2 linked regions of the Caenorhabditis elegans genome follow. The protein of the gene in region 1 interacts with the protein of each later gene in a biochemical or structural test. Each region holds a gene or a part of one and is shown on either strand. Other genes may lie near its edges.

Region 1 (3,920 bases):
ATCCGACGACGGTTTCTACTCAACAACAACAACATCATCAAATGGTGGTCCTATTCGAACAACTACAACTTTCGATGAGCCCACTTCAAGTCCACCGACAATTTGTAGAGTTCTTTATGATTTTGAGCCGAAGCATGCTGACGAGATTGAGGTGGCTCTATTTAATTGAGATCTATATTATAAATCTGAATTATTTTAAGATTAGAGAAGGTCAATGTGTTCTTGTCGAGGATCGAATAGGAGATGATTGGCTCATTGGGCACGTTATAAGCCAACATGACAATTCTTCAATTGATCCACGATCTGGAAGATTTCCAACCACATATGTTTCTCTTAGGCAATGAGACTTTTTTCTTGGCGGCACAATAAAGTTTCCTCTTTTTGTTGGGTCACTCAACGAACACAATACAAATATTTGAGCGCTCGCATTTTTCTCAACCTTTCGGGTTTAAAGCACTTCAAAATGGAATTGAAGAGAGATTGTGAAAGTACATCAGACAGAATCACATTTTGATAGCATTCACTTCACTCAGATGCAAACTTTTCAGTGACTATAAAAAGTCATAAAATAATAACATTAAAAAAGCAAATAAATTAGCGAGAGAATTTTTTGACAAAAAGAAAGAAGAGTGATAGAGAAGAAGGGAATGCTTGAAAGGATCTTGCATTTATTGCTCCGATTCGTAAGTCTCTCCAGCTTCTCCCTCAGCGTATCCGTCGACGTCGTCTTCGGCAGTTGCTTCTTGGTATTGTTGGTATTCTGAGATGAGATCGTTCATGTTGCTCTCGGCTTCGGTGAACTCCATCTCGTCCATTCCTTCTCCAGTGTACCAATGGAGGAAAGCCTTGCGGCGGAACATAGCTGAAAAAATAACGTTTTTAAAACTGATACTGGATGATAGTTTCAAATTTCTTACCAGTGAACTGCTCTGAGATACGCTTGAAAAGCTCTTGGATAGCGGTCGAGTTTCCAACGAAGGTGGCAGCCATCTTGAGTCCTCTTGGTGGGATGTCACAAACGGCGGTCTTGACGTTGTTCGGGATCCATTCGACGAAGTAGGACGAGTTCTTGTTCTGAACGTTGAGCATTTGCTCGTCAACCTCTCTCATCGACATGCGTCCACGGAACATAGCGGCCACGGTCAGGTAACGTCCGTGTCTTGGGTCACAGGCAGCCATCATGTTCTTGGCATCGAACATTTGTTGGGTGAGCTCGGCGACGGTAAGGGCACGGTAAGCCTGGGTTCCCTTGGCGGAAAGTGGTGCGAATCCTGGCATGAAGAAGTGAAGACGTGGGAATGGAACCATGTTGACGGCAAGCTTGCGGAGATCGGCATTGAGCTGTCCTGGGAATCGGAGACAGGTGGTAACTCCGGACATGGTGAGGGATACTGAAAATTGTAATTATTAGGTTTCAATTTGGGTAACTTGTGCATAACTTAAACTTGAACAAGAAATAATAACTTACCAAGATGGTTCAAATCACCGTAGGTTGGGTTGGTGAGTTTGAGGGTACGGTAGCAGATGTCGTAGAGGGCCTCGTTGTCAATGCAGTAGGTCTCATCGGTGTTCTCAACAAGCTGGTGGACGGAGAGGGTGGCATTGTATGGTTCTACAACTGTGTCGGACACCTTTGGCGATGGTACAACCGAGAATGAGCTCATGATTCTGTCTGGGTACTCTTCGCGGATTTTGGAGATGAGAAGTGTTCCCATTCCAGATCCGGTTCCTCCTCCGAGAGAGTGAGTGAGTTGGAATCCTTGAAGACAATCGCATCCTTCGGCTTCCTTGCGGATCACGTCAAGCACATTGTCGACAAGCTCAGCTCCTTCTGTGTAGTGACCCTTGGCCCAGTTGTTTCCGGCTCCGCTTTGTCCGAACACAAAGTTGTCAGGACGGAACAGCTGGCCGAATGGTCCAGAGCGGACAGAATCCATGGTTCCTGGTTCGAGATCGACCAACACGGCGCGTGGCACATACTTTCCGTCTGAAAAAATTTAATTAATTAATCATTCCAACTAAACGATTTCGAAATCTCCAGAAAATTTTAAAAACTCACTGTTGGCTTCGTTGTAGTAGACGTCAATGCGCTCAAGCTGGAGATCCGTCTCTCCCTTGAAGGTTCCGTCTGGCTGGATTCCGTGCTCGTCGGAGATGACCTCCCAGAATTTGGATCCGATTTGGTTTCCGCATTGTCCGGCTTGCACGTGGACGATCTCTCTCATTTTTGCTGAAAAGGTCGTAATGAATTGAAAAACTATATTTAGATAGAGAAGATGAAGGAAAATAACAAAAGAAAGAGAACACGTCATGGTCGATATTGAAAAGCAATGATTCACGGCAAAAATTTAAAATTAAAGGAGTAAGTTTTTTTAATACATTGAAATTTGAGAGATGTTTAATTGGTGATTTGATTCTAGTTTATTGTGCTCTGAAATTAAATGATTCACGGCGAAAATAAGAAATTAAAAGACGAATTAGGAATAAGGTTGAATAAGGTTACCTTGAAAAATATAAGAGATGTTTAATTGGTGATTCTTTTCTATTCTATATAGGTTGATTCTAGTTTATTGCACTCCGAAATTAACTACTTTCGATAAAAATTTCAGCGCAAGTACCTTTCTATTTGCTCTAAAATGAGCCCACTTTTCATAATCGCTACCCCAAAAAGGAAACAAAAGGACGTTGTAGGAGCAGACATGCAGCTCTTGGGATGTATGGAATGGAGACGAAGAAGAGGCGGGTCGGGCGCAGTTGTGTCCGACGCTGTGTGCATTCGGATCGATAATCGCGAGAACACGGGGCGCGCGGCGCCCGCTCGCATTAAAAACCGCAGTGGCCACTGGGGCAGCAGTCGTTGTTGGACTGCAAAGGGTGGTGAAATCGAATAGACTATTGCGAAATATGCAGATATGGGTAGAATGGGTGAAGAGGAAGAGAGCAGAGGCAAATCTATTGCGAAACATACACAAAATGTCCATCAATTCCCTCTCTTTTTGCTTAATCCATTTGTTTTGCGTGTCACCACTAGGTTTGGCAGAAGGAGATAGAGCACACGACACAGATGGCTTTTCATCGGGTGCAATTTGGTGCTATTGGTTTGGGGTAGAGAGGGAGATGCCGCTTGGCGCGCAGTAATCCTATGGGAACCGAATGAAATGTGCTGGGGGCCTGCAGCTTTGAAAAGCCTTCAGAATAAAAGAGATGAAGACGAACCGTGAAGAAAAACGAGGGACAAAAACTAGTTCAATGCGATGGAAATCGTACCCCTGTTGACGGCTGCGGTGGTGGTGAATTGAGAATTGCGGAGAAAAGAGAAACGGAGATGACGTGGCAGTGACAATCGGCTTGGGGTCGCCTATACAATACGATACATATGCAGCCAATACTTCGTCACACATGCAGCCAGTCAGAGAAAGGTCAATTACCGTAGTACACGCGCCAGGAGACAATGTTAATGGGTACTATCTAGATCAGTTGCTGGTTGGATAACGATTTTAAAATACAATCCAAATCAACGGGAAGCTTCAAAAAAAAATTCCAAGAAATAACTGACGAAAAAAGTCGAGTTAAGGGTCGTGTGTCGGCGCTGGGGACGAAAAAGAGCTCTACTCTTACCCCCACTTTCCGTTGTCGATGAGACACATTATACCAAGCGAGAAACATAGAGACTGGCGCCGCCCGTGCTTCCCTCCCTTCTCCCGTCGTTTTTCTCTCCGCGCCCTCTATGTTTCGGATGGACAGGGACGCGAATGCTTTGTGACGGCCTTGACCAACGGGCGACAGCGGTGTCCCTTACCAACCCGCCACAGGCGAGGCATTTCAAAAAATGTGCCCATCCATCTAGCAATTTGAAAAGACGACGCGCCTGGCTTACGAAGTTAAGGAACTAGCCAACTGAAAAAGTGGAACTCAAAATA
Region 2 (4,676 bases), 8.0 Mb from region 1:
ACGGATTTTTTAATGTATTTTTAGAGAAAAATCTGATTTTTTAATGTATTTTTAGAGAAAAATCTGATTTTTTGATATTTTTACTGAAAAATCGGAATAATTTCAATTTTTAATATATTTTTAGAGAAAAATCGGAATTTTCTCGTTTTTTATAAGAAAAATTAGCATTTTTCAATGTTTTTAAATTTTTTTAAAGAAGAAATTGGAATTTTTTCGGTTTTTTAATATATTTTTTGGGAAAAATCGGTTTTTTTTTTTCAATTTTTAATATATTTTCTGCGATTTAATTAGAATATTATCTTCTCTACCTTATTCCGGAAATATTTTCTACATTCAAGGCATAAAAAATGCCGAGAAATTGAAGTCCAGCTCCGTTCCTCTTCGGTTTTTTGTCGCCGCATTCTTTTTTTCTGTTAAAAAAACAATTTTTCGCTGCAATTTCCGTGAAAAGCATTTAAAAATCGTTGAAACGAATGAAAAATTGGAAATTGAACAAAAAAATGGCCAGAAAATCGAATTTTTATGATGAAAAACCGAAAAAATGAGGAAAAAATGAGGAAAAATGAAGAGAAAATAGAAAAATCGATAAATAACAGAGTTCTTCAGTGAGTGGCGAGAGAGTGTGTGAGATGAAGAGACGCAGGGTGTTCGACAGGAGAATTTATTCATAAATCCGCCCAATTAATCGGGTTTCGACCGGAATTTTCGAGCTCCGTGTTGCATTTCGAGAAGCATTTGCATCCCCACCACTTGCGAGCACTCAGCGGAGACGGATGGGCGGTCTGGAAATTTTTTAAAATTTTTTAAAAAATTAAATTTGAGTTTAGTGGAAATATTTTTAAAATACGCTAAAAAATAGGTTTTTTTTTTCACAAAAATCAAAAATTTTGCGATTTTCCACGTCTGAAACCAATCAATTTTTCCCTTTGAAATTAATTTAAATTTTGGTGGAAAATGTCAAAAATTGCCAGAAAAACTTTAAAAAATTCAAGAATTTCCCACAAAATTGTAGTAAAATTGTCAATTTTCAGTTAAAAACCAAAAAAAAAAACAAGATTCTCCAGGTTTTGCTCCAAATTTGCTCCTTGTTTAAAATATCTATGTGAAAAATTGGAAAAAAAAGTCCCTTTTATTGTAGAAAATCGACGATTTTCAAACGCGCGCCAGACATTGAAGCGCGCTGTGTCTTGTGCCGATTTACGAGCCAGCTTTCAGCTTTTTATTCATTTTTATCGGTTTTTTTCGTTGAAAATTGTGTATTTTCGAGCCAATTGAACATTTTATGATCAGAAAACCGCGAAAATTTCCTATTTTTAGATGAAAAAGGAGGTAAATTCAGAGAAAATCGGAATTTTTTGAGTTTTTAAAGAGAAAATTGGAGTTTTTAAATAGAAATTTTCTCGAATTTTTTTTTCGATTAAAAAACAATTTCTGTTTTTCGATTTTTCTCTGAAAAAATAGAAAAAAAAAATTTTAATTTTCTCTTTTAAAAAATCGAAAAAATTCTAATTTTCTCCTTAAAAATTTCAAAAAAATTCCGATTTTCTCTTTTAAAAAATGGAAAAAATTCCGATTTTCTCTGGAAAACTATATGAAAAAATGGAAAAAATTCCGATTTTCTTTGAAAAAATCGAAAATATTCCGATTTTCTCTAAAAAATCAAAAAAAAAATCGAAAAAATTCCGATTTTCTTTGAAAAAAATTAAAAAAAACGAAAAAATTCCGATTTTCTCTGGAAAGAAATAGAAAAATTCCGGTTTTCTATTTAAAAAAAAAAAGAAGAAAAATTCCGATTTTCTTTGAAAAAATCGAAAAAATTCGGTTTTTTTTCTCTGAATTTAAATCATTTTCCATCTAAAAATAAGGAAATTTTGCGAGTTTTATAATAATAAAATGTTCAAAAAACCGAAAAAAAAAATGAAGAAACAGCAAAAAATTGGCTTTAAAAAAACAAATCTCGTAAATCGACACAACACGGTGCGTTCCAATGAGAATCGTCTCTGGCTCTCTGGCGCGCGTTTGAAAATCGTCGATTTTCTACAATAAAAGGGACGTTTTTTTCCAATTTTTCACATAGATATTCGGAATCAGGGGAAAATTTAGAGCAAACCCCTGAATTTTTTTTAGTTTTTAACTGAAAAGTGACAATTTTACTACCATTTTATGGGAAAATCTTGAATTTTTTTCTAGGTTTTCTGGCAATTTTTACCTAAATTTCCAGCAAAATCGCAAAATTTCCGATTTTACAGGTGAAAATCGGCAATTTTTGTCGTTTTCCAACACATTTTTAGGGAAAAAATCTTAAAATCAACTTTTCCATGCTTTTTCCAGAATTCTATCCAGAAAAATAATGACCTTTATAACTACATGTTTCTTTGTATCAATCAGTTCTTCCTTCTTATGAGCAAATCCTCCCCATAACAAAAAGACAATAGGCTTCTCCGATTGTCGCGAAATAATCCGAATAACAGTGTCCGTGAAAGTTTGCCAGCCGATCTTCGCGTGAGAATTCGCCTCGTGAGCCCGAACCGTCAACGTGGCATTCAACATGAACACTCCCTGACGTGTCCAGCCGAGCAGGTTCCCGTGATCGGGCCGCTTGAAGCCTTCAATATCGGATTCAAGCTCTTTATAGATATTTTTCAGCGATGGCGGCGGTTTTACACCCTTCTGAACACTGAAGGAGAGCCCGTGAGCTTGATTATCATCGTGATAGGGGTCTTGACCGATGATAACCACGCTGATCTCGTCGAATGGCAGAAGATTGAATGTTGTGAAAATTTGTGTGGGCGGTGGGAACACTTGCTTGCCCTTGTTCACTTCGGAATTCAAGAATTTCTCGATTTTCGAAATATAGCCTTTTTTGAATTCCTCCTCTAAAAGTTTCGACCAAGATTCACCGGTTAGCAGGGATTTTAGCAGAATTTCAGTTGGTTCTGGTGCTTGTAACTTCATTTTCTTGACTTCTTGATTTTCATTGCCCGCGGGAACTTTTTCCGGAATATTTTCAGTATTTGAAGCGGATTTTCTGAAATTTCGGTGGTTTTTTTTGAATTTTCAGAGCGGGAAATACCGTTTAGAGGCAGCGGATGCTTTGAGGAACATGTCCGGAATTCTTACAGTCTTCGACATTCTGAAATAAACGGAAATCTAGAAGAAAAAAAAAGAATTTTTATTCAAAAAACACGAGTGGAAATGAGATAAAATAAACCTGAGGGCATAGATAAGGATATTTGAAAAATTAAATCACAAAAATGGGAAATTATTCGAGTTATTTGCAGGCAAACCGGTGAATTCGTAACCTGAAAATGAAGAAAATCGATAAAAATCATTTAATTTCGCATTGACTACGGTAGGTAATTGTGTGCACTTTTGCGTGGCGGTGTATGCACAGAATTGATTTTTAAAAAAAATTAATTTTTTTTTAAATTTTAAAATTAATTTATTGAATTTTTCGACGATTTTCTTGAACTTTTCTCACACATTTTTGTGCAAAAACTCTTATTTTCAAACTTTCAGACTCAAAACGCACTGGAAAATCATTAGAAATGGCACCGAAGAAGAAAATGGTAATTTTTATGGCGAAAATTACTTGAAACAGACAAAAAAATCCGAATTATCGAAAAAAAGGACTCTCCCGCCGAAATGTCTCGTTTGAATGGGGTGGCGGCAGCTAGGCCGTGGTTGCACGCGGTCACGTCCAGATGGTCGATAATATTGGCGTTATTGGAGGAGTACGGGGGTTTTTAATGTATAATAATAAGAATAATAATTCAAAAAAAGTGCACTTTCGGACGCTGCAGCACGGAAAAGTGGCCAAAATTAGAGATTTTAGTTAAAATTAGCGCTTTTTTTTTCGAAATTTTGATTTTTTTTTTCACAATTTTCACAATTCCTTTAAAGGTGGGGTAGCGCTAGTGGGGAAATTGCTTTAAAACATGCCTATGGTACCACAATGACCGAATTTCATGATAAAAAATTCAAAAAAAAATTTATAAATTTTATATGATTTTTTGAAAATTGAAAAAATCACAGTTTTCCCCTAATTCCTATTTGAATTACCGCCAATTGAATTTGTTCGATGGGGCGCGCTTGCACGTTTTTAAATTTATTTATTTTATTTTTTGTTATTTTCCACCGATTTTTAATGTTTTCGGTGTATTTTTGCTCGAATTTTAGAGAAAAAATCAACATAAATGCAAATTTTCGATTAAAAAGCACGCTTACAGGCGTAAAAATGAAAAAGTAACGCTTTTAAACGATTTCGAACCTGAATTAATTAATTTCACTGATTTACGCCTGTAAGCGCACTTTTTAATCGAAAATTTGCATTTATTTTGACTTTTTCTCTAAAATTCGAGCAAAAATACACCGAAAACATTAAAAATCGGTGGAAAATAACAAAAAATAAAATAAATAAATTTAAAAACGTGCAAGCGCGCCCCATCGAACAAATTCAATTGGCGGTAATTCAAATAGGAATTAGGGGAAAACTGTGATTTTTCCAATTTTCAAAAAATCATATAAAATTTAGAAAAAATTTTTGAATTTTTTAATCATGATATTCGGTCATTGTGGTACCATAGGCGTATTTTAAAGCAATTTCCCCACAAAGCGTAGTCCACCTTTAAAATTTTTTGGCACATTTTTCTCAATTCCTTTTAAAAAATGTACCT

The links. Proteins that work in one complex are often made in the same cells at the same time.
Region 2: the proteins of tbb-2 (region 1) and ung-1 form a complex in vitro, tested with the Caenorhabditis elegans proteins (one large-scale study listed by BioGRID).

What each region holds. Positions count from the first base shown.
Region 1 is NC_003281.10:4,015,398-4,019,317, forward strand, and holds tbb-2 (Tubulin beta-2 chain), read right to left. Parts: upstream 2,231-3,920; 5' UTR 2,226-2,230; coding exon 2,060-2,225; intron 1,988-2,059; coding exon 1,469-1,987; intron 1,392-1,468; coding exon 918-1,391; intron 863-917; coding exon 669-862; 3' UTR 513-668; downstream 1-512. Other genes in the region: C36E8.4 (SH3 domain-containing protein), read left to right, coding at 1-151, 201-344. UniProt on the Caenorhabditis elegans protein: Tubulin is the major constituent of microtubules, a cylinder consisting of laterally associated linear protofilaments composed of alpha- and beta-tubulin heterodimers.
Region 2 is NC_003281.10:11,970,958-11,975,633, forward strand, and holds ung-1 (Uracil-DNA glycosylase), read right to left. Parts: upstream 3,134-4,676; 5' UTR 3,133-3,133; coding exon 3,074-3,132; intron 3,029-3,073; coding exon 2,356-3,028; intron 783-2,355; coding exon 666-782; 3' UTR 510-665; downstream 1-509. Other genes in the region: Y56A3A.28 (C2H2-type domain-containing protein), read right to left, coding at 309-401; Y56A3A.30 (SP-RING-type domain-containing protein), read right to left, coding at 3,247-3,302, 4,675-4,676; Y56A3A.31 (SOSS complex subunit A homolog), read left to right, coding at 3,549-3,569. UniProt on the Caenorhabditis elegans protein: Excises uracil residues from the DNA which can arise as a result of misincorporation of dUMP residues by DNA polymerase or due to deamination of cytosine.